Linked DNA regions of Canis lupus familiaris. The protein of the gene in region 1 purifies or fractionates together with the protein of each later gene. This does not show direct contact. Links are inferred from orthologs where the notes say so. Each region holds a gene or a part of one and is shown in the gene's direction. Other genes may lie near its edges. The genes, in order: EIF4G1, EIF3I, EIF3B, MKNK1, EIF4B, NCBP1 and EIF3A.

Region 1 (3,938 bases):
GTGAATAATTCACTCATGCCTCTCTCTCTCTCTCTGTCTCTTGTGAATAAATAAGAGGCAGAGACACAGGCAGAGGGAGAAGCAGGCTCCCTGCAAGGAACCCGATGTGGGATTCGATCCCAGGACAGGAGGATCACCGCCTGAGCCAAAGGCAGACACTCAACCACTGAGCCACTCAGGTGCTCCAATGCAATCTGTTTTTATAGAAAATTGTGAAGATTGAGATCACATAGGTCATATATATTAATTGACCACATTATCATTGGTACAGAGAAAATGTTTTCTTCTGAGATTGTATGTGTGCACATACACACATGCACACCCACAGATCGTGCACAAGAGTGTCTTTGCCACGTATGTAAGCACATAGGCACCGTTTCGAGCCCTTTTCACATAAATTAACTCTAATCTTCACAATCCAATAGTGTGGATGTTATTGTGAGAGAAAGCACCGCGGTTAAAAGCTCGGACTTGAGCCAGACTGCCTGGTTTCCAGCCTTCCCATTTTACAAGAATAGGTAATAGTAGGTAGTAAGTGACCTGGCCAGGAAGTAGGGTTTGGATTAAAACCTCGGATATCTGAGTACCTGGATTTGGCTCTAGGGCGATTCCTCCGGGTGCCAAAAGTCTTTTGGCTGCAGGGCAGGAATTTTGGGATTACTTCTTCCTTCGTTATTCTGAATTTTCCGTGACTGACTTCTGTCCCTCCCTGGGAGTGGCTGATCTCTGTAAAGCAAAAGATCGACTCTTAACTAGTTCCTTAAAATGTTTCAATCCTTTTTAGCCTCGCATTCAACTTAGTAAGTATTTCAATCGCTTTATTTTCAAAGGCTGCCCAGTGTGTACTTCTTTGCGCATTTGTATCGTGACTTATTTAGGCAGGACCGAGTAACAAATCTCGGCATTCTCAGCACGCCCTCCCTCCCCCGCCAGCACCTCGCCTGGTACTTAGCATGCACTCAATAAATGCCCGTTCAAAGAATGAATGAACTAAAAGAACCGCGGAATAGAGACGCAGAGGGGGGTCGGTCTGGAAGTTCCAAAGTTCGGGAGGGGACAAGGGGGCGGGCAGCGGCTGTCACGTGACGGGGCTGGGCGAGCGGGCCGTACTCCGCGGCGCCGGGCGCGGCTCCGCCCCCTGCGCCGGTCACGTGGGGGCGCCGGCTGCGCCTGCGGAGAAGCGGTGGCCGCCGAGCGGGATCTGTGCGGGGAGCCGGAAATGGTTGTGGACTACGTCTGTGCGGCTGCGTGGGGCTCGGCCGCGCGGACTGAAGGAGACTGAAGGTAAAGCCGCCATGTCCGGGCCCGACCCGGCCCCCCCACCCCCTCCCCCCGCATCCGCCGCCATCCGGGCCGGGACCGGCCACCCTGCGCCGCCGCCCCGGCGCCCTGGCCCCGCGGCCCAAGCCCGGGCCCCGGCCCGCCAGGGCCCGATCCCTGGCCCACGTGTGCCCGGCCTGGCCCGGCCTGGCTGCTGGGTGGGGGTGGGGGAGCGCGGGGCCGGAATGTGCGGTCCCCGCGGGCTGCTGGGGCGCCGGGTTCGCCGGCCGCGAGGTGCCACCCCGGCCTGACCCGAGGGGGCCCCGCGGGCGCAGGCACCGCGGCTCCCGGCCCACCGCCCCCTCCCCCCTTTGCGGCCCGGCCGCCGGGAAGTGACACGTTGTTCTTTGGCACTGGCCGGCGCTGCGCAGGGAGGGCGCAGGGGAGGGAGGCGGCAGCGGCGGGCAGGGAGGAGCCCCCGGCCCCGCCCGCCCTCCGGGCCGACCCTCGCTTGCTAGGAACCGGCTTCTCTTCGGCCGCCGCCCGCCTGGCCTTTTAGGGCCCGACTCCCGCCCTTCCTGGCCTCCAGTCCTGGGCGGCGGCAGGCCTCGCGACCGGCCCCGTGCGGGCGCCCCCGCGGCCACCCGCAGCAGGCGTGCCTTGTGTGCCCCCGGGCCTGGCCCCGAACCCGGTGTCCCCAGGTGGGGGGTGGGGACACCACGGCCGAAGCTGCTAGCTCCGTTTGTGATCCGGGAGCCTGGTGCCAGCGAGACCTGGAATTTCCGGTCTGGTTGGTCTTGGGCCCCGCGGAGCCAGGTTGATACCCCTCACCTCCCAACCCCAGGCCCTCGGATGCCCAGAACCTGTAGGCCGCACCGTGGACTTATTCTTAACCGAGGGGGTGAGTGAGGGGGCTGTTTGAGCAGACCAGGGGGGTGGTTGGAGGTGATGCGGGTTTGACAACGTGTTGGTGGGGACGTAAGCTGGATCTTTTCTGCTCCTTCACCCCGGTCGCACCTCCGAGACTCGGTGTGGGACCCAGCCCTTGGTTCAACCCTTCCCCCACTCCGCTTGCCTTCAGCTTGGGTCCCTTCCCCTTTCCGAGCTCCACTCTTTCCCAACAGGTGCTGGGGGGACCCTGATGTGGCACCAAATGAAATGAACAAAGCTCCACAGCCCACAGGCCCCCCACCTGCCCCATCCCCTGGACTCCCACAGGTAATTAGGGAGGAATTAGCAGAGACTGGGGTGGGGGTGGGGGAGATCAGGCAGCTGGTCAGGAACAGGTTCCAACCTCTGGATTTTCCCACCCCCATCTGTGTCAGGGCAAAGTGCAGCTTCCTGCTGCCAAATTGAGACAGGGCCCCTGGGCTGTTCCCAGGGGCTGTCATGGGGAAGAGGGGGCATGTGGACTGCTGAAGCTCTTGCCACAGGTCTGCTCCCCTTACTTTACCAGCTTAGGTTTCTGCCCCACCCGGGTTTCCCCTCTTGCTGAACTCTGGTCTCCCCCCTTCAGCCTGCGTTTCCCCCGGGGCAGACAGCACCGGTGGTGTTCAGTACGCCACAAGCGACACAAATGAACACGCCTTCTCAGCCCCGCCAGGTGAGGGGCTCTGGGGAGGGGAGTAGGGGGCCTGGGTGGGAGCCATGGAAAGGTTAGGCCAGTTCGGGCCGAGGATGGAAACTGTGGAGGCCCTGTACCTGCCCCAATTTCCTGACAGTTGCTCTGTGTTCTTTCATGCGGCTCTGCACTTTGTGCTGTTGATTACTTACGGTGGCTGGCCCCTTGGGGAGTATGTAGTCGGTGGGGGTGGCATTACTAGGGGTCCTGGTGCCTTGAGAATTGGGAGCAGCGCTTCGGGCCCTGCTGCCAACTCCTGTTCCTATTTCCTCCTTTTCCTGGGAGGTTGTGATTGCTCCGCTCCGCTCCCCTTCCCTTCTTTCTCTTTGGACTGTGGCGAGATAAACACTCCATCTGGTTCTTGCCTTTCTCTGTTCCCTAAATTCTTCCTCACTAAGTGGGGACATTCTTGTCCTACTTCCTTCATTGTTTTCTCTCTCATCACCTTGGGGATAATTCTCTTCTCTCCTGTCCCCATGTGCTCTCAGGGAGGATTCAGGTCTCTGCAGGTAATACCCCTTTGCTAATTCTGGACCCTCTCACGGTCTCACCCTTCACCTCTACCCTAGTCAAGGGCTAGACACAGGGACTGGGGGGTCTTCAGGGTGGGGACATGTTTGCTGTTAAGGTTCTCAGTCTGACACTGACTGATGCATGCTAGAGGCTAGATCTTGCAGATTGCAAATCTGGGAACTGGGAGACTGTTGCATGTTAGTGGTTAGCTCCTCTGTACCTTAGGGTGGAGCAATGCATGCTGGGGAGTATGTTGCTCAAAAGGGCTTTACTTGGGCATGATGCATCTGGGTGTTAGGAAGCCTTTGCAGAGGGGTAGCCTGGTAGAGGTGACATGAGTATTCACGGTAGTGAGGGAGTAAATATTCGTGGAGTGCAAAGCGCATACCTCAGTGTGGAGGGTATGTGTGAGTACAAGAGGCCACCTAACCATCAGTTTGGTTAAGTGGGTGAGGATTGGCCCCCGTGCTCCAAAGCCCCCAGTATTTTTCTCCAGACTAGAGACATGGCGGAGTGGCCATTTTGGATGTCCACTTCCTCCCTT
Region 2 (3,158 bases), on another chromosome or scaffold:
GCGGAGAGTATGTTTCATTTTAGCAAACTCAGGTAGCAGTGGGGAGTATTGGAAGAACAGACCAAATACATGGGAGCCTATTAAGCTGCTCCGTTTAGTAAATATTTACTGGGCACCCAATTCTATGCCAGGTCTCTGCTGGGTTCCTTTTTTTTTTTTTTTTTTTTTTTTTTTTTTTTTTAGCAAAGTGATAGAAGTTTATTAAGCAGAGATACGGAGATACAGAGGAAGCTCTCAGAAGTGAGAGGGGTCCCGACAGGGTTCCCTCTCTGCTGGGTTCTGGGGACATGCAGAGAAATTAGAGCAGATCCTTGTTCTAGAGGAATGCATTCTGAGAAGACATATGTATTGCAATTCACTATGAGCAGTGCCATAGGAACAGGATGTCTGGGGAGAGATGGTGGGGAGCAAGTTAAAAATCTTGAGCCAAAGCCTAGCAGTGAGGAGGAAGTAGGGGTGGGTTTTGGTCACTAGAGCAGGAGAAATAGTAGACAGGAGGATAGGCGTATGGAGAGTGTCCTCCCCTTGATGGCATTAGGCAAGGGGTAGCCCAAACTCTGCTTGTCTCCAGGGAAGCAGCTGGCCCTACTCAAGACCAATTCAGCTGTCCGGACGTGTGGCTTTGATTTTGGGGGCAACATCATCATGTTCTCCACGGACAAACAGATGGGCTACCAGTGCTTTGTGAGCTTCTTTGACCTGCGGGATCCAAGCCAAATCGGTGAGCCAGCACTAGGGCATTAGGACTGGGGTGAAGGGTGTGGCTCCAGAGCCCAAGGCCTGACATCTTCTACCCCACACAGACAACAATGAGCCCTACATGAAGATCCCTTGCAACGACTCCAAGATCACTAGTGCTGTTTGGGGACCCCTGGGGGAGTGCATCATCGCGGGTCATGAAGGCGGGGAGCTCAACCAGTATAGCGCCAAGGTGAGGAGGTGGGTGGAGCCCCAAGCCCACCAGAATGATTCCCTTCAAGAGTCAGGATAGCACAGTAGTGAAGAGCAAAGATTGGGTTCAAATACAGATTTTACCACTTTTTGGTTATGTGAACTTGGCCAAATTACTTCACTGAGCCTGTTTATATATGCAAAATGTTCCGAGGATCAAATGACATAAGGCATTTTAAAAACTTGTCACAGGATACTCTGGATATATGGGTTGTTTTTTGTTTTAAGATTTTATTTATTTATTCATGAAAGACACAGATCAGCAGAGATATAAGCAGAGGGAGAAACAGGCTGCCTGCAGGGAGCCCAGTGTGGGACTTGAACCCAGGGCCCTGGGATCACAACCTGAGGCAAAAGCAGAGGCTCAGACACTGGGCCACCTAGGTGCCCCTACTCTGGATATGTTAATAGTGATCATAAATAAGCATTTTCCTGCCACCACTGAGTGCCAGGCCTTGTGTTGGGCTCTAAAGAAAAAGACCTGAATCAGACATGGGCCCTGCCCCCAGGGAGACAGACTGGCAAACAGCTAGCATGAGTCAGGTTGGAAGTTGTGCCAACATAGAGGTCTCAGCCAATTACATTAAGTGCCCTCTGTCATAGAGAAAGTGGCACATACGTTAACCCGTGAAGAATAAATGGAGCTTTAAGCAAGAAGGGAAGGCCATTCCACAGATGGGAAAAACAGTACACACAAAAGCAGAATTAAGGGAATAGGGGGATTGTTCAGGGAAGGGTCTGGGGTTTTTGGGACATGGCATTGGAGAAAGTGGATAGCAACTAGATTTTTTTTTTTTTTTTTTTTTGAGTGTCAGGAGGTAAGGAACTGATTTTTCTGTATGCAGTAGGGAATCTCTCTCTCTCTTTTTTTTAAGGTTATTATTTATTTGTTTGTCTATTTGAGAGGCAGAGAATACAAGCAGGGTGGGGAGGAGCAGAGGGAGGGGGAAGCAGACTCCCCACTGAACAGGGAGCCCAACATGGGGCTTGAACCCAGGACCCTGAAATCATGATCTGAGCCAAAGGCAGATGCTTAACTGCCTGAGCCATCCAGGTGTCCCAGTGGGGAATCTTTAAATGGTTATTGGTGATCAGATTTTCTCTTTATAAGGCTTTTGCAGGCTCAGTTCAGAGAATGGACCTGAATGAGGCCATAGCTCTCGGGATGTGGAGCACCTGACAGAGTCAAGAGATATTTAGGAGTGACTTGATGAGATGGAGAGTAAGCCTGGGCTGCCCTGGATTTCTCTTGGGTACCTGGGTTCCTGGACAATGCTGGCATGTACTATGATAAAGTTTAGTCGTTCAGCAAACGCTGACTATAGTCCACCAGACCCCAGACCTACCCACAGGCAGGTAATGGAAACCAAGGTCAAAGGCATACATAAAGCTTGTTGCCAGCAAATAGTGAAGCTGTTCTGTGTTGTTAGATAGGCCTGACTGCAAGACTCCTGCTTGTTCCCCAAAATACAGGAGCTGGATCTGACTCTACCATGTGTCCTCACTGATGGAGGAAAGCAAAAATACATCCTTCTCACAAAATAGATAAAAATAATTCAGGGGGGACTCCTGGGTGGCTCAGTGGTTGAGCGTCTGCTTTTGGCTCGGGGCGTGATCCCAGAGTCCCAGGACCGAGTCCCACATCAGGTTCCTTGCATGGAGCCTGCTTCTCCTGTCACTACCTCTCTCTCTGCCTCTCTCTGTGTGTCTCCTGAATAAATAAAATCTTTTTAAAAAAAAATTTTTTTTTCAGGAAAGGGACACTTGGCTGGCTTATTCAATAGAGCATGCGACTCTTGATTTCAGGGGTTGTAAGTTCAAGCCCCACAATGGGCAGAGAGCTTACTTAAAAACAACAATAAAAGTAATTCAGGAAAGGAAAGTTCTCTGAGGGCCCACTCTGTATGAGGCACAGTGCTCACAAGGCCTTTAAATCATCTGACCAATGTCTGCAGAACATAGGCCAGGTTCCTGTCACAACAAAGTCAAATAAGACAGTCTCAGTATCCCTCTGGTGACCTGGGTGGTGTACTTTTAGTAATCTTGTTTTCTAGATAGAGAAATTGAGGCAGAGAGAGGTGCTTCTGAGGGCAGACTCTAAAGCTCTGCCCTTTGTACTCTACAGGCTAGCAGGTTGCTGAATGGGAAGGGAAGTAAGGAGATGAAATGACCCTTTGAAAGATCTAAAAAAAAGCTAGACATGCAGC
Region 3 (3,034 bases), on another chromosome or scaffold:
TAAGCAGATGGCTATGAGCCAGTCTCTGTGCAGTGTGACCATGAGTTGTGGCAGTGCTAACCCTCCTGTGCTCCTTGCTCTCCTGCCATCTCAGCAGCGTGTGGGGTATGAAGATCCTGTGTCTGCCTGTGTGTTAACAGAACACGCAATGGTTCGCTTTCCTGACTTTATGGGTGATGCTTACTGTGTTTTAGAGGTTTGGCCTCAGGTAATTGCAATGAAAACTACTCCACACACTCATGGTTCTACCACGTATCCTTTCCACGTCTCCATTCCCAACAATCTTAGGAGAGAGAGGGGTCCTGGATCACTTCCTCCTTAATGATGAGTTAGCAGGCAAGGAATGCCCGAGGCTCCCAAGCCCACCCTAGAGCCTTGAAGTAGCAGGATACCATGATGGTGTATGCATAGATGGGGTTCTTTGTGCATGCTGACCATGCTCTGTCTCCCCAGTATGAATGGTGCCTTGGCTTTTGTTGACACCTCGGACTGTACAGTCATGAACATTGCAGAGCACTACATGGCCTCTGACGTGGAGTGGGACCCTACTGGACGCTACGTTGTCACCTCTGTGTCCTGGTGGAGCCATAAGGTATGGGGTCCTGTGTAGCCTGGGTGCAGTGTGAGACTTGGCTGTGATAGGCCTGGTGTCACCCCTTCTCCTGGGTCTCCTTGGGGTGGGCACTGCTGGTGATCTGTTAGTTGTTCTTTGCTGCCCTGCCCAGCTGCTTCAAAAAGCCCTTGAGGGGATTCCTTGGGTGGCACAGCGGTTTAGCACCACCTTCAGCCCAGGGGTGAAGTGATCCTGATCCTGATCCTGGATCCTGGAGTCCTGGGATCGACTCCCACGTCAGGCTCCCCACATGGAGCCTGCTTCTCCCTCTGCCTGTGTCTCTGCCTCTCTCTCTCTCTCTCTGTCTTTCTCATAAATAAAATATTAGAAAGCCCTTCAGCAGCGCACGTGAGGCAGCCAGTTCTTCATGACTTGGTTGGCATTACTTGGTATCTCTTTACTAAGTCGGAGCATGTCTTAGGCCAACGGCAGCCTGTGCCCAGGCCCCTTTCCTCTGTGCCGGGGCCTGGGACCTCTTCATGGTATAGTTTCTCCCCCACCCACCATTGAGCACTCACTCCCTCACTGGCCTCTCTGGCTTGGATGGAGGCAGAAGGAGGATGTGCTTTGCCATCCACACTCTTTATTTCATCCTCATGAAGGTTGCGATTTGGACCCCCTTTATCAGGTGCCCGGCTCAGTAGACTCTCTGTGGCTCCCTCCGCTTGTGTGGCCTGACCATACATGGCCTCTGTATATCTCTTCTGCTTGGAATGTAGTTCCTGTGCGCATGGTGCTTCTGCCACGGGACGCCACTCAGCCTGCCCACTCTGGATTTTCCCAGTACTTATTACCCCTTCCTTTCTTGTTTTTGCTGCCAGGGCACAGCATTGTGTGGCCAGGGGCCTTTTCTGTGGCTCTGCCTGGCATGTGGTCCTTGTTAGTTGGCTTTGCTGGGTGACTGAGCAGCACATAGCCACCAGAGGAGGGCCACTACCTTCAGGGCTCCTGAAAGGCTGTGAACACCTGTGTGTATATGTTTCTTTAATCTCAAATGTCCGTATCTGAAAAACTTAAGAATTGCCATGTTCTATAAGCGCGAGAGCGTGTGTACAAAGCCCGTTCTGTGTGTGCATGTGCTGGTGTGTCTGCAGCGGTGCTCCCTCGCCCACTGCTCTGCCAGTCCTCTTTTACGTTTAGTGACTGTTTCTCGCTGATCAAGATCCTGAGCTGATCCTGAACCAGCTTGTGCACCCGAGAGCTCAAGCTTGGGCAGTTCTGTGTAAGGACGTAGGAATGTAGAGCAGCTCAGGCTCAGCAAACCCCACTGAACACAGCATCTTGAATGATCTGTATGTTGGCAATAGCACACTGATTGTTCCTGAGCATGTCTGCACGTGTTTGGGTGCTGCCTGTTGCTGAAATCTCTTAGAATGTTGAGCTCTTGTCAGATGCCACACACTCCTAAAGTGCTGGTCTGCAACAGGATCACACCAGCATGTAAATTCAGATCCTGCTTCTTTGGGAAAGTGTCACCATGGAAAAGATGCCAGTTGAGCTAAACGGTGTGTTACGTGGCATGGTTAGTGTATATTCTGGCTTGAGCTCCCGGTTGCAGGCCAGTAAAGAGCCCGTGCTATGGGAGCCCGTCCTTGCTGCTATTTGCACGGTGCACGGTGTCTTCCTGTTGGGTTTAAGGACTACATTCCCCCTGCTGCATGCAGGCTTGGGAAGCAGAGATTTGTGTTTAGGTCTCTTCCAGATACCTACAGCACTGTCAGGTGTTGGCCCTCAGACTACCGGGAGGAGATGCTTGTTTTGGTTGGTGCTGTGAGGGTACAGGTGCCTGGAGCCTTGCATCTTGCCATGACTCAGGGCACTGAGCAGTGCTTGCGCCTCTGCCCTCTTGCAGGTGGACAACGCTTACTGGCTGTGGACTTTCCAAGGACGCCTCCTGCAGAAGAACAACAAGGACCGCTTTTGCCAGCTCCTGTGGAGACCTCGGCCCCCCACGCTCCTGAGCCAGGATCAGATAAAGGTCTAGGGTCCCTTGGGGTCAAGGGAATGTGGAACTTCTCATTTGTGGTTCTTGCTTTGAATGTTTAAATTCTGGGTGGCTCATCTTTGTTTTTGTTTCAGCAAATTAAAAAGGATCTGAAGAAATACTCCAAGATCTTTGAACAGAAGGATCGTCTGAGCCAATCCAAAGCCTCAAAGGTTAGCCTCCTCCCACGACTGAGGGAAGGGCCAGCACCAGGCCTGAGGGGATGGCAGTGTCTGCGTGGGGGTTGCTCATCTGCTGCAGGTGCTTGCTGTGTTGCTGCCGTGCACACAGACTAGTGGGACCCTACTGCACCTCTGGGTGGCTGGCCATCCAGATGCGGGAGGGATTGGTCCTGAGTTGAGGGGATGGAAGAGAGCACGTCCTTCCAGTCCTGACCTGAAAGCCTCTGTGAATAGAGGGGTCCTCACGGCAGCCAT
Region 4 (3,500 bases), on another chromosome or scaffold:
TTCCATCCCTACCCTTTCCTGCCTGGTGTGGCCAGTGTTGAAATGTCTGCCTCACAAATGCTCCCTTTAACATGGGGAGCCTCCCTTTAACCTGCTGGCCAGTGAGAGATAATAATATTTTTGCAATGAATGACCTCACCCAGCAGCCTGGTGTAGACTCATCAACTGCAGACTTTTCAGACTTCTAAACAGACCTGACCACATCCTCTCAAATTAGGAGCTGAGGAGTAGGGGAGAGTATCCTTGGGGTCCCACAGGTACTCCGGTCTGTGCTCCTAAACATAAAGTAATTTAGGCAATCCTCAGAGCCGCTCTCTGTCCTATTGTACCTCCAGGGGCAACTCCACTGAGGCCTATGGATCCCTGTGCACATCCACTCGGTGTCACTGAGCCTATGATTTCATTTGCATGGGCCCCTCCCAAGCCACACCCTTGTAGCTCCCTGGATCCTGCCTTTCTGGTGCTGGGGCAGGAGGACGTCACAAGTGGGATGCTGCTTATGGATTCATTGTTTTTATTGCAAACTGCAGTTTGACTAGTGGCAGATCTGAATCCATGTGCTAATGAGCTTGGTTAGAGCAGGCTCTGCTATCCTCTTTTAATCTAGCCTGTCTATCTGAGTTCCTTTCCACAGTTAATGATCTCCAATAATGGCTTTGCCTTTAGTTTTGCCTCCTGGGTCAAACAAATCAATAGTCCTCATAGATATTTAAAAACCATCAGTGTAAAGCTCCTGGGTCCCCCCTCCCCTCCCCTTTTTTTCCCTTCTGGGTGAACTTATGGCTTGATCAGTATAGTGATATTTCCCTTACATCTCTTTTCCCCCAGAGATGGGGAGCAGTGAACCCCTTCCCATTGCAGAGGGTGACAAGAGGAAAAAGAAGAAGCGGAAGGCCCGGGCCACTGACTCCTTACCAGGGAAGTTTGAAGGTTGGTCACACGACTTCTCAGATCTGGGCCTGTAGCTCCCCGGGCATGAGAGGAGCATCTTGGTAGCCCATAGGTCTAGATCAGAGCATGCGTCATCTGAGAGTCAGCTCGTCCTTATCTGTGTGACAGGGATGAATGATGGGATGAGAGAGCTCTTGGATGGTGCGCTCTGAATAGTTTCAGCGTTCACTGTAGGATAGAAAGACCAATCTGTCAGACTTGTGTATGGAGAGAGATTGGTTGGTGCATTTTAGCCCTTTTCTGATGCAATCTTTTCCCCCGCCATTCCTGGAGTCACTGCTGAGAGGTAGAACAGCCATGTAAGAGGATGAGAGAACACCAAGGGCCACAACTCCAAATGAAAGTTAAATCTTCTATAAACAGAGGATTTGACTCCTAGACATCACAGCTACTTGTGCTGTATGAGTTTGAGTCGATTTTAAGAGTTCATGCTGTGTTCAGGGGACATGATGTTGGATCGTCAAAGATTCTGAACACTGTGTGAGGCACAGGCTCAGTGCTGGTCCTGTCATCACTGAGTATGTGATGATGAAGTGAATCATCGAACACTTCTGCAAGGGCCTAAAAGGATCAGTAGCTCCTCCAGGAATGATATGCCCCCCTCATCCATTGTGTTTCTTTCACTGTGAGACCTGAAATACCTTCCCCTCATGGTCCCTCTTTCCAGTGTTGTAGGTACACTAGTGAATTGATTGTTTTGTAGAGCGGTTCCAATAACAAGCCCTTTATGAATCATGAATATTGGACTTCCACCCACCAGGCTATCCTGACATGCATGAAAGGCTAATCCAAAGTATCCATTGTGAGTGAAGCATGTCATTTAAAATACTTAAAAACAACAGTGTGCATGCTTATAAATAGCTGCAAGACCATACCATGATGGATCCAGGATGGTACTAAGTGTAGGGTTTGTCTGTTTGTCTTTAACTTAAACAGTAGATATATATGTATAGGGGTGTAGGGAGGGATGGACAAAAGTCTCAAGGTTTTTAGAATAGTTTCCAGATCAACAGGTCTTGCTCTTACAGTGAACATGAGACTATATCCTGTTATTCGAGGATGACTTGTACAATTATAAGCCTCTCATGCTAAGAGTGATAAAATCTAATTTCATGGTTTGAAAGTATTCTGCACACCCTGTGGGTTTAAATGCTGGGCTGCCTCAAGAGGAAAAAAGGTGAAGAATGGAATTTAGGGGAGAAGGAGGTCAGCTTGGCAAAGGCCATGATGGAGCTGTGGTTTCCTTTGGAAGGGAATCAAAGAGTCTGCGCTATTTGTGAGCTTGGGCAGGTCACCTAAATGTTCTTTTACCCCAGGCCTAATACTCTGTTAGAACTGCTCTGAATCAGCACCCTAAAAACCTCGAAGCATCCGTTTGCATCCTCCTTCTGTCTCCTGTTTCCTGTGGGTGACTTCAGAAACTTCTCAGAAACCTCCAGTGACTTCTATTAAATAAAATAAAATAGTGCTTTATTTCCCTTTGTATCACCAGGGTCTAGCACAGAACTAGAGCATAGAGCAGGTGCTTAACAAATGAGTAAAGGAATGAATGATGTCCATTGAAATCATACTCCTTCTGTGAGGATCCCATGGTTTCCCTACACAGATCTAACCTTTCCTTCCCCCTATTTTTTTTCCTGTGTCTTGTCCTTTTATGGTAGTGCTCACTACTGCCCGGTTTATTCTGGGGTCACTTGTCTACATGTCTGTCTTCCCCACTGGACTGTGACCCTCAAAAGGCAGGGACTATATTTTATTCCTCACTCTGTCCCTATTAATAAATTTAATACATTGTTTGGTACATAACAGGTGCTCAGGAAGCTTGGGCAGAACTGAAATTCACTGACCTCATCTCTAAAATGAGGAACAGGATGCTTTCAATGTGGTCTAGCTGTTGAGAAACTGAGTCCTGTGATGACTGGAAGAGTTGATGGTCTTCCTTGTCATTGTGTGCCCGTGCTATCACACCAGGGAAGCTGAGTGACAGCAGCTCTTCTGTCCATCTGAGCTTGCAAAGGCATGACTTATCTTGTTTTTCCTCTCACCCATTTCACCTCTAGACACGTACAAGCTGACCTCTGAACTGCTTGGAGAGGGAGCCTATGCCAAAGTTCAAGGTGCTGTGAGCCTACAGAATGGCAAAGAGTATGCTGTCAAAGTGAGTGTCTCATCTGGGTGCCAGACTTTAGCTGGTCCGAAGCCAGATAAATTTTATATTCTGCAGTATGGCAGCTCAGTAATAATGGGGACTCCAAAGATGTTCTCACTGGATTCAACTCTTGGTTTCTGTACTTACTTGCTGTGTTAATTAACACTTTTTTTTTTTTAAGATTTTTATTTATTTTTGAGAGAGAGAAAGAGAGAGAGCACAAGCAGAGAGGGAAGGAGGGGGTGAGGGAGAAGCAGGCTCCCCTGCTGAGCAGGGAGCCCTGACTCAGAGCTCCATCCTGGGATCATGACCTGAGCCGAAGGCAAAAGTTCAAGCGACTGAGCCACCCACCCAGGCTCCCCATTACTTAACACTTCTATCCTTCAGTTTCCTTCTCTGT
Region 5 (3,500 bases), on another chromosome or scaffold:
TAAGCCAGTGGTTGGTATACGTAAGCTTTATCTTTTGTATGTTTGAAATTATTTAGGATAAACACTAATTTTGAGAAATACAATTCCCTTGAAACACTAAGGTTTGTCTTAAAATATTCTGACAGTTTGGATCCAAGGAGAAATCAAATTCCTTTAGAGTTTATATTTAGCCATTTGGTACTGTATGCTTTGCTCCATGAATCATTATGAGATTTAGATTCCACACAGAGCCAAGAGTATAGGAAGTAGAGTCTTTCCCGTTGTATTGTCACAAGCTCTTCTCAGCCTCCTGAAGTAGTTCATCTTCCAGACCACGTTTTTTACCAAGATACTTGCATCCAGTAGTTTATCATAGTTGACCATTTCTTCCTAGTAATAGTAGCTGTGATGACTCACCATGTAAGTCCTCAGTGTGTAGCACAGCCTCATGGGTGGCGTAGTGGGAAGATTGATTGTCCTTGGTTGTTTAAACCACCCATTTATTTTCTAATGCTCTCCCTTCTCTACTGGATTGGCTAGGCTGCTACTCTCCCGTGTGGCATTTTCTTTTCTTTTAAGATTTTTATTTACTTGCTTATTCGTGAGAGACACAGGGAGAGGGGGAGAGACATAGGTAGAGAGAAGCAGACTCCTCGCGGGCATCCTGATGTAGGACTTGACCCCAGGACCATGGGATCACAACCTGTGCCAAAGATAGATGCTCAACCACATGTCCCCCCATGTGGCATTTTCTAAGAGCTGTGTCTGGGCATCTGACTTTTGGCCATCAGCTTCTGAGGATTTTGAAAAACTGTTACTTAGAGTTTTATTTAACTTAGGTCCCCCCCAAAGACCCAAACTGAATCTAAAGCCTCGGAGTACTCCTAAGGAAGATGATTCCTCCGCTAGCACCTCCCAGTCCAGTCGAGCGGCCTCTATCTTTGGAGGGGCAAAGCCTGTTGACACAGCTGCTAGAGAGCGAGAAGTAGAAGAGCGGCTGCAGAAGGAGCAGGAGAAGCTGCAGCGCCAGCTGGATGAGCCAAAACTAGAGCGACGGCCTCGAGAGAGGTGAGGCTCTCTTCAGTTACGGATCTCTGATCTGGGAACGAATTGCTTCCTGAAGGACGGGTGTGGTACACATCCCAGGGCACATCTGGGAAATTCATGCAGGCGTTATTAGTTGTCACTTAATAGCATCTAGTGTACACAGGCTGGGGCCAGTAGGTGCGCTGCAGTATATGGGACAGTTGAACCCTATGAAGAGTTAGTTGCCTGCCGGCCCTCGTGGCTTTTAAAGGGGCTTAACTGGGCTTAACTTCTGACAACTATAAATTGATGATCGATTAATAGAGGAGTAGGCAAATTACGGCCTATTCCTCCCCCCGCCCCAAATCCATTTATTTGAGAAAGAGCACAGAGAGAAGCGGACTGCTGAGCGGGGAGCCCGATGCGGGGCTCCATCCCAGGACCCTGGGATCACGACCTGAGCCGAAGACAGACATTTAACCAACTGAGCCACCCAGGTGCCCCAGTGCTGTTCCATATTTTGTAAATAAAATTTATCTGACCCATTAAAAAATTGACCAAATCTTGCTTTAGTATATGGGGTAAAGCCACCATTATGAGATGAGTGGAAGTGCCTCTATTCGAGTTGCTGGAATAAAGAGAAAATGTTTTTACTTCTATAAAACATAAACTATATATAAATTATTTTACATTTATTTTTACTCGTGTGTTATGTCAGGTATATTATTTAAGGATATTTCAGGATGGTAAAGGAGTCGGTAGTGAAGTGTTTGTTATTAAAAAGTGGCATTGGATCTAATGGGGTAGAAACCTGTAAAATGGCCTAGTTTTAAATGGCTTTTAGAGTTGTGTTACCAGTAAGGGAGGGCTGTAGGTTAGGTAGGAGAATATTCTTCATTCTAGTTGAAGCTTCAAGTGTTTAGAGCCAAAGTGTATTTATCTTTGTAGCTTTCAAATGGTTTGAGAGAAACAAGATGTGCACACCCACCCACAAATACAGCAAGCCTGATGAGTATGAAGTGATGGTTCTTGAGGGGTCAGCATGGGTCCAAAGTGGCCTTCAGTGAGCTGGACATAAGTTGTTTTCTTTTTTTTAATCTCTTTGTACAGACACCCAAGCTGGCGAAGTGAAGAGACTCAGGAACGGGAACGGTCCAGGACAGGAAGTGAGTCATCACAGACTGGGACCTCGGCCACAACTGGCAGAAGTAAGTCAGACCAGGGTGGGTATCACGTGTTATTGCCTCTTTCCATAAATGAGCCATAACCAAATTATGCAGTCACTGTGGGGTATTAAACTCAGTCATGGGGGCTTTATTTCGGTTAGCATAGGTTGAGCAGAATATTACATCTAGTCTGAAAAATCTAAGAAAATGGCATCAGAAGAGACTTGGGCGACCTGTTTAATGATCTTCTACTAAAGAGTATACTTGACTGTTAGATTTGTCCCTTCTTTTTGTTTTGACATTCCAGAATTTTCCTTTATTTAGAGCAGTCACAGTCCTACAGCTCTCTTGCCAGCCTTTTTGGATGTCCTGTACGACCAGAGCAATGTCTGGAGCGATGATCTTCTACTCTTGATCTTTCTTTCCTTCCTTCCTTCCTTGAATTTATCGATTGGTCACAAACATCTTTAGTGTTTTGGAAACTGAACTATTAAATCATAACATCTCTCTTCCCTTATTGCGAACCAGTGTTTTGTTTTTTAAGTTTCTTCCTCCCACCTCTAAGTTGATTTGTACTTGAGCATTTCAAAGCGTGGCTCCAGACTGAGATGATTTGGAAGTTCATCCAAGTGTTGTAGAAGTTTTCTGGAAATTATTCATACTGGAGTAGCTACCCTTTTAGTAACAGGAAGGTAATGTCTGTTTGTGACTAGGTGGAAGTGTGATGGTTGGATTGATACCTCCTGAGGAGGCTGCACTTAAAACGTAGAAAGAATCTGACAAAATAAACATTTAGTTGGTTTTCTGGTTTTGTTTTGTTTTTTTGCTTTTTTAAGATTTTATTTATTCATGAGACAAAGGCAGAGACAGGCAGAGGGAGAAGCAGGCTCCATGCAGGGATCCCGATGTGGGACTCGATCCCGGGACTCCAGGATCACACCCTGAGCCAGAGGCAAACGCTCAACCACTGAGCCACCCAGGCATCCCAAAACTTCTAGTTTTGAGAAGACATTTACTGCCCTTTAAAAAAAAAAAAAGATGGCCTGTTTTTCCTATATATCATATTGTGTGTGTGTGTGTGTGTGTGTGTGTGTGTGTGTGTGTGTGTGTGTGTTGAGCCTCCAACTTGGAGTTAACTCAGTGGATCCTGGGGTTTGAGATTTATCAGAGGTCCTCTTCACACACATATACATATTCTCTGGTGTAGACATTTTTTTTTTTTAATTTTTATTTATTTATGATAGTCACACACAGAGAGAGAGAGAGATAGAGAGAGAGAGGCAGAGACATAGGCAGAGGGAGAAGCAGGCTCCATGCACCGGGAGCCCG
Region 6 (3,500 bases), on another chromosome or scaffold:
CTTGAACTACCACATAGTTGAGGTATGTGTTCCACATGGAGCATGTTTCTAAGTTTCAGAATCTTTCTATGGATTTGAAAGTTAATAACTCTTGGCTTTTTTTTTTCCCCTTGCAACTTGTCAGGTACTGAAAATTAACACAGGAGCAAGAAAATTGCTGTCAATTTTGTGCTCTCTTAGCCATGTTAGTAAAAACAAAAGTGGAGGTTGAGGCCAGTAGCCAAATGGAATTTTGCAGTGCCTCTAAATTATTTATATAGCATGTCTTCATTCATGGATAGTATAAGTTACCTCCAGTCTTGTGAGTACACTGTCCACTTATCAGATAGATAATTGGCTTGAATACTTTAAAATACCATATTACATAGGCAGATAACTGTGTTTATCTGGCCTCTTATTACCAGCATACCCCTGACTAGTATATTATTATTCCCTGTATCACACGGTAGGGAGAGATAGGAGTCTTTATTTATTCCTAGAAATTAGAAGAGCCCATTGTTTTTGAAAGTAGGAAGAATCAATAATACTTTCGACCCCATATCAAGTCATGCGGAGGGGTGAACACCTTGTAGAGGTTTAAGTCTCAAAATAGCATTCACTTATTATTACAGATTCACTTACTGTTCATACATGTATTTGTGTGCTTCCCCAAAAGTACTGCATTTGTCCTATCTTATAAAACTTTAAGAGTGTATTTAGGCTATGAACTTGACTCATTGACACGTCAGTTGAAATGCAAAATATAGGTCATAATTTCGAATCTGGAAAGTGTAAAATTTTATCAGAAGGGAATACAGAGGGATGGGAGATGGGAATGAGAAGAAAGAATGCAGACCAGGTTTTAGAATTCTAGGTAGGTGGTTCATGAATTATATAGGGAGGGCAGAAACAAGTTTCTGAACAACAGCGGTGGCAAAGTAATCTTTTTCTACCAAAGAGATTGCCAGGCACTGGTTTTTAAGTAGCAGCCTGGAATGACTTGACTATCTTCTGTTCCTGTCTTCAGAATCTAATGAGGGTTTTTACTGCTTCTAGGAGTGAAACTGATGGATCAGTGAGTACCTGCCTGAATCAACTCTGATACTTCCAGAGTAGGAATTTAATTGCACTATTCTCTGGGAGTATCAAATAAGCATTAATTTCTGCATATTCTTATTTGATTGAGTTATAGAACGATGAAATTTTCATTACAGTATTCAATTGCAAATCTCCATGTCTTAAAGAGTATAGTTTCTAAAGATTATAAAGTAATTATTTTTTCATTATGAATGCCATGGAGTTAAAGAGTTTACGTTTAAAATGTTGATCTTTCTGATGGAAGTACAAAGATACTTGTTGAACAGCATTCTGACTCATGGTTCTTTTATAGGTGATTTTTGCAGAGCTGTTTCAGCTTCCAGCACCCCCGCACATTGATGTGATGTACACAACACTGCTTATCGAGCTGTGCAAACTCCAGCCTGGCTCTCTACCCCAAGTTGTATCCTTTCCTTTGTTTTTAAACTTACTCTCTTTGACCTGGCTTTAAAAGATTATTAAATGTTTCTTACTGTGGGGGCCATTTCTTCAAAAGTTAAACATAAGTATACCACACAGTCCAGCCACTCCACTCCTAGGTATTTACCTAACAGAAATGAAAACACATATCCCTACAAAGACTTGGACATTAAGTTCATAGAATCTTTATTTGTGGGACACCTGGGTGGCTCAGTCAGTTAAGCGTCTGCCTTTGGCTCAGGTCATGATCCCGGAGTCCAGCGATCAAGCCCCCCGTAAGGCTCCCTGCTCTGCTTCTCTCTCTCCCTCTTCCACTCCCCCCTGTTCCTACTCTCTGTCTCTCTCTCACTCTCTCTCAAGATCTTTTAAAAAAGAAAAAACTTTATTTGTAATACCCCAGAATGAGGCAATCCAAATATCCATCAGTACATGAATGAATATACAAATTTGCCATATCTATACAATGGAAAACTACTCAGCAATAAAAAGGAACAAATTTTTGGTGCAGGCAACAACTTGAATGAATTGCAAATTAAGTAGGATGAATAAAAGTTGTCAAACAAGAATTTATACTACATGATTCCATTTACACAAAATTATAGAAAATGCAAAGTAATCCAGTGACACCAGACCAATATTTGCTTGTTGGGGGAGGAGGAAAGAGGATTACAGAAGAGCATGGGGAAAGTTTGGAGGCGATATAAATATTCACTGTTTAGTTCAGGGTTGTATACAAGTCAGATTTATTGTATATGACTGATAACTGCAGCTGTTTTTAAAAAAATCAATTACATGAAAAGATGCTCAGCATTGTTAGTCATCATGACTTCTAAGAAATGTTATGTTCTGTCACAACTTATTTTGAGGGAGGATTCAGAGTAGTTTTCCTTATCCTCAAATTCACAGCTTGCACAGGCAACTGAAATGTTATATATGCGTTTGGACACGATGAACACTACATGTGTAGACAGGTATAGTAATTGTCTTATTTCTATACTGATTGCAAGAAGCATCTATTCCCTGTACTGTATAAAAGAATTTAATCAGCAAAATATTTGCCTTTTTAGAGAATTTCTAAGTTGATTTTTCTTTCTTGTCTCCCCAAAATAACCCTTTGTATAATAATAAAATTTATAATGTAACATCATGCTTTCTACTAACTTCCAATAGGAAATGATGGCCATACTGAGGTTTTCTTTAATTTCATTCATTATTAAATTTTTTTTTTTTGTGCTTTGGTATAATTATACTTTTTCCTTTGTAATTCGGTATGTAAGATTTTAAAATAAACTTTGTACTCACCCCTGTGCACAAGCAGAACCTAATATTGTGTATTTATTATGTATAAATATATATGTATTTTTGTTTGTTTATAGATAGTATCTTTTTCTTAAATAATTAGCTTCTACATAACTACAGCTTGAAGACTCAGTTTATACAAAAGACCATTTTGGATTTTTAGAGGTGTGGTAATTGCATGTCCACTGTCTTTTGACGGAGACCCGTCTACCACTTTTATCAGCTGGTATCTTTCTTACCTCTGTTAGTGTCCACAGTCAGATCGACCCAGGTACTGAACACTTCTCCAGTTTCCATGATCTTTCGTGTCCATTGTTCAGATTGCATATCTGAAAATTATCATTAAGCACTGTATCAGACCTGAGTCAGTGATTGAAATTATAGATCTATGAGGGACATGCTCTAAGATAGCATCTTCTGATTTTTCTCCCAATCTCATAAAACTAGGAGTTGCACAACCCAATTATGTTATTGAAATTCAGCAAATATATATTGGGCTCTCGCAGATTTTACAACATTACACAGTATGCTCAGGTGATTTCTATCTAGTTAGATCAGATGTATTTTTAGGGGAAAAGATGTATATTTTGTGGTGAAAAGGGCATAGTGTGGTGATGAGACACTACACTTTGCCTCTGCCATTTATACAATTATCTGCAGTTCCTTTAATCTTTTTTTTTTTTTTTTGCCTGTTTTATTGTCCA
Region 7 (2,924 bases), on another chromosome or scaffold:
TTTAAAAAAAGAGATTCTCCCTCTGCCCCCTCCCCCAGCTCACTTTCTCTCTCCCTCCCTCTCTGTAAAATAATAAATTTAAAAAAAAATCAGTTTTTATAAACTTAGTAGTCACTATGTGAAGTTTTTATTTAAATTCACAGTATAGTAGTAGGCTAATTGGATGGTAAACATATATTGCTTTAAAAGTCTGTGTAGAGGATCCCTGGGTGGCGCAGCGGTTTGGCGCCTGCCTTTGGCCCAGGGCACGATCCTGGAGACCTGGGATCGAATCCCACATCGGGCTCCCGGTGCATGGAGCCTGCTTCTCCCTCTGCCTGTGTCTCTGCGCCTCTCTCTCTCTCTCTGTGACTATCATAAATAAAAATTAAAAAAAAAAAAAAGTCTGTGTAATTAGGAAATAATTTGTCGGTGTTTAAAAGTAAAGTCTTGGTAGGTAAGCACAGTGTAAAGCATTCTTTCTCTGAAATTGTGACAGTTGAAACTTTAGTAAAAAAAAATTTTTTTAATGTTGAAAATGGCCAATGCACTTAACTAAGTACTTATCTCGAACTTTTTTTTATCTCAAACTTTAAATGTTTCATTTGTACAATGGGATTATAAGGGTTTTTCATATATGATACCTGTAAAGTAAAGGTATAATGCAGTCCTTATGGCCATTTTTGCTTTTATGATTTACTCAACAAAAGCAAATTTTTTAATTAAAAAATTTTTTTTTGACATTTTATGTATTCATGAGAGACACAGAGAGAGAGAGTGACAGAGACTTAGGCAGATGGAGAAGCAGGCTCCATGCTGGGAGCCCGATGTGGGACTTTATCCCAGAACCCCGGGATCACAACCTGAACTAAAGGCAGATGCTCAACTGCTGAGCTACCCAGGTGTCCCTTTAAAATTTTTCATTCAGATTTTTGTCACTTTGTCTTAAATTATTTTAACCATTAGGATACTTCCCAGGCCAATGGTTTCAAATTTGAGTTCTCAAGTGTATTGCTATGAAGAATTTGCCAAAAATTGTATCAAAATGATTAAAATATATTTAGATTGTTTTTTTAAATGGGGATTCTCTGTGGTTACCTTTATATATAGGATTTCTGAGTAATTGGAAGCATTCCTTTTGTTGAAGTTCTGTTTAGTCTGAACCAGTACAATACAGTATAAATTTACTTTCTTTTTCTTTTAATTAAAATTTTTAGTAAGTTCTTGGAGACGTGCTGATGACAGGAAAGATGAGCGGGCCGAAGAGCGGGAAGCCCCTCGTCGTGTTCCTCCCCCTGCTCTTTCAAGAGACCGAGAAAGAGACCGAGACAGGGAAAGAGAAGGTGAAAAAGAGAAAACCTCATGGAGAGCTGAGAAAGATAGGGAATCTCTTCGTCGTACTAAAAATGAGACTGATGAAGATGGATGGACCACGGTACGACGTTAAATCTCAAGATAATGGATTCAGACTTATGTCTCATATGTTTGATCACATTCAAGGATTATTATACTTGTGCTTCAACCAGTCTAAATTGGATTCTTTAATGTTGTCTCACCATAACACAAAAAGCATGAACTTGTATTAATCCTCTATAATAGATTGATCGTGCACCGTGTCCACAGGAGGTTGGACTGCCAGGCCATTTTCTGGAATTTAAGGTGTTGCATTATTTCATCAATCATTTGTTTACAAAAAAGAAAAACTAAAAAATAAATTTAAAATGTGAACCCGTCAGGTATGGAGTAACACCTGTATCTTGGTATAGAACTGATCTTTTTCTTTTGTTTTTGAAATACTATATTAATTTGGAATGAGGTATGATTCTGTTAAAGAAAATGTATTTGAAGACTCTTCAAAGCAGGGGCTGAAACGACTTCCACACCATTAGCGGTTGAGACATACCTCTAGATATTTTGAGGTATTTACTATATTAACTACATTTAGAAAGTTTTTAGGTTCGCTATAAGTGCAGTAAACATTACAGACATTGGATACAGTGGGATTTTCTGTAGATTTTACTTGAGAGGTGAGTATAAAGCAATTTGCAGTCACTGAAATGACAAGAATACTGCTCAAGTGTGAATCCAAAACAATTAAAGCTTTTAAATTTTAAAGCATTTGGTAAAACTGTTGCTGAGTCTTTTCTGTTGCCAATAGCAAACTGCTTTTCCATTAATGGAGAATTCATGCCTTTCAAGCATTTTAAATATGACAATATTTATAAATGTGTGGTTTGGAGGAATTGTTTAAATTCTTTTTCCTAATTTCCTTTCTCTTCAGGATAGATTCTTTCAACAAGTAATTTGTAGTAATGACTGTGTTGACTTCAATTTTGGAATGTCGTAGCTATGTCAGAGATTAACTAATTTGGTCTTATTGAAGCCAACACAGAACTTGCTGCTGTGTTTTTTCTTCAGTGATAAATAAAATACTTACAGAATTTGTTTTGGTGTTGATTTGTAGTTACAGCCAAAGTGTTTTTATTACTTACTAATGATGAGTTTTTGTATATTGTGTTGAATTTGAGTTTTTTTGGTTGACATTAAATGTCTCCGTATTTAGGAGCAAAAAATAACTCAAGTAGAAAACAAATGTGGCTAGGATGTTTCCTTCCTTAATTGAGGAACCCCTTAGTTTCCTTGTAACGCTGTCCTCTCTGTGAGCTTGTATATGTGGGTGGGTGGGTGGTTTACTCTTTCAGTATTCCTCTGAAATTAGAGAATATTAGTAGCAAATTGATAGTGGCTACAGACATGTGAATTACTTCCAAGATTGAGCGGAGGTGAGAACTCCTGTTGGCACAGCTATTTAATAAGGCCAGAAGAGGGAGTACTGAAGCTTTTTTTAAAAATAATCAGATGCAGCCTTTTCTGTTTGATGTTAACAGTGATGGAAACCACTTTTTTCAACATTTAATTTTCTTAATATCTAGTATTTCAAACAA

The links.
Region 2: the proteins of EIF4G1 (region 1) and EIF3I purify together in Homo sapiens (affinity purification with mass spectrometry; 5 studies listed by BioGRID and IntAct, counting the BioPlex papers as one, with this or other methods). This does not show direct contact. The link is inferred for Canis lupus familiaris from reciprocal best matches to the Homo sapiens genes EIF4G1 and EIF3I.
Region 3: the proteins of EIF4G1 (region 1) and EIF3B purify together in Homo sapiens (affinity purification with western blotting; 7 studies listed by BioGRID and IntAct, with this or other methods). This does not show direct contact. The link is inferred for Canis lupus familiaris from reciprocal best matches to the Homo sapiens genes EIF4G1 and EIF3B.
Region 4: the proteins of EIF4G1 (region 1) and MKNK1 purify together in Homo sapiens (affinity purification with western blotting; 3 studies listed by BioGRID and IntAct, with this or other methods). This does not show direct contact. The link is inferred for Canis lupus familiaris from reciprocal best matches to the Homo sapiens genes EIF4G1 and MKNK1.
Region 5: the proteins of EIF4G1 (region 1) and EIF4B fractionate together in Homo sapiens (co-fractionation; 4 studies listed by BioGRID, with this or other methods). This does not show direct contact. The link is inferred for Canis lupus familiaris from reciprocal best matches to the Homo sapiens genes EIF4G1 and EIF4B.
Region 6: the proteins of EIF4G1 (region 1) and NCBP1 purify together in Homo sapiens (affinity purification with western blotting; 3 studies listed by BioGRID and IntAct, with this or other methods). This does not show direct contact. The link is inferred for Canis lupus familiaris from reciprocal best matches to the Homo sapiens genes EIF4G1 and NCBP1.
Region 7: the proteins of EIF4G1 (region 1) and EIF3A purify together in Homo sapiens (affinity purification with western blotting; 4 studies listed by BioGRID, with this or other methods). This does not show direct contact. The link is inferred for Canis lupus familiaris from reciprocal best matches to the Homo sapiens genes EIF4G1 and EIF3A.

What each region holds. Positions count from the first base shown.
Region 1 is NC_049255.1:17,363,489-17,367,426, forward strand, and holds the start of EIF4G1 (eukaryotic translation initiation factor 4 gamma 1), read left to right. Parts: upstream 1-1,138; 5' UTR 1,139-1,284; intron 1,285-2,104; 5' UTR 2,105-2,161; intron 2,162-2,384; 5' UTR 2,385-2,418; coding exon 2,419-2,478; intron 2,479-2,716; exon of another isoform or gene 2,717-2,776; coding exon 2,777-2,863; intron 2,864-3,369; coding exon 3,370-3,390; intron 3,391-3,938.
Region 2 is NC_049223.1:68,378,405-68,381,562, reverse strand, and holds part of EIF3I (eukaryotic translation initiation factor 3 subunit I), read left to right. Parts: intron 1-571; coding exon 572-721; intron 722-803; coding exon 804-931; intron 932-3,158. UniProt on the Homo sapiens protein: Component of the eukaryotic translation initiation factor 3 (eIF-3) complex, which is required for several steps in the initiation of protein synthesis.
Region 3 is NC_049227.1:14,926,890-14,929,923, reverse strand, and holds part of EIF3B (eukaryotic translation initiation factor 3 subunit B), read left to right. Parts: intron 1-453; coding exon 454-592; intron 593-2,465; coding exon 2,466-2,591; intron 2,592-2,692; coding exon 2,693-2,770; intron 2,771-3,034.
Region 4 is NC_049236.1:13,964,345-13,967,844, forward strand, and holds part of MKNK1 (MAP kinase-interacting serine/threonine-protein kinase 1), read left to right. Parts: intron 1-828; coding exon 829-930; intron 931-3,011; coding exon 3,012-3,109; intron 3,110-3,500. UniProt on the Homo sapiens protein: May play a role in the response to environmental stress and cytokines. Appears to regulate translation by phosphorylating EIF4E, thus increasing the affinity of this protein for the 7-methylguanosine-containing mRNA cap.
Region 5 is NC_049248.1:44,524,659-44,528,158, forward strand, and holds part of EIF4B (eukaryotic translation initiation factor 4B), read left to right. Parts: intron 1-818; coding exon 819-1,047; intron 1,048-2,115; coding exon 2,116-2,228; intron 2,229-3,500. UniProt on the Homo sapiens protein: Required for the binding of mRNA to ribosomes. Functions in close association with EIF4-F and EIF4-A. Binds near the 5'-terminal cap of mRNA in presence of EIF-4F and ATP.
Region 6 is NC_049232.1:55,290,732-55,294,231, forward strand, and holds part of NCBP1 (nuclear cap-binding protein subunit 1), read left to right. Parts: coding exon 1-22; intron 23-1,369; coding exon 1,370-1,480; intron 1,481-2,403; coding exon 2,404-2,468; intron 2,469-3,500. UniProt on the Homo sapiens protein: Component of the cap-binding complex (CBC), which binds cotranscriptionally to the 5'-cap of pre-mRNAs and is involved in various processes such as pre-mRNA splicing, translation regulation, nonsense-mediated mRNA decay, RNA-mediated gene silencing (RNAi) by microRNAs (miRNAs) and mRNA export.
Region 7 is NC_049249.1:29,589,181-29,592,104, reverse strand, and holds the end of EIF3A (eukaryotic translation initiation factor 3 subunit A), read left to right. Parts: intron 1-1,196; coding exon 1,197-1,426; 3' UTR 1,427-2,424; downstream 2,425-2,924. UniProt on the Homo sapiens protein: RNA-binding component of the eukaryotic translation initiation factor 3 (eIF-3) complex, which is required for several steps in the initiation of protein synthesis.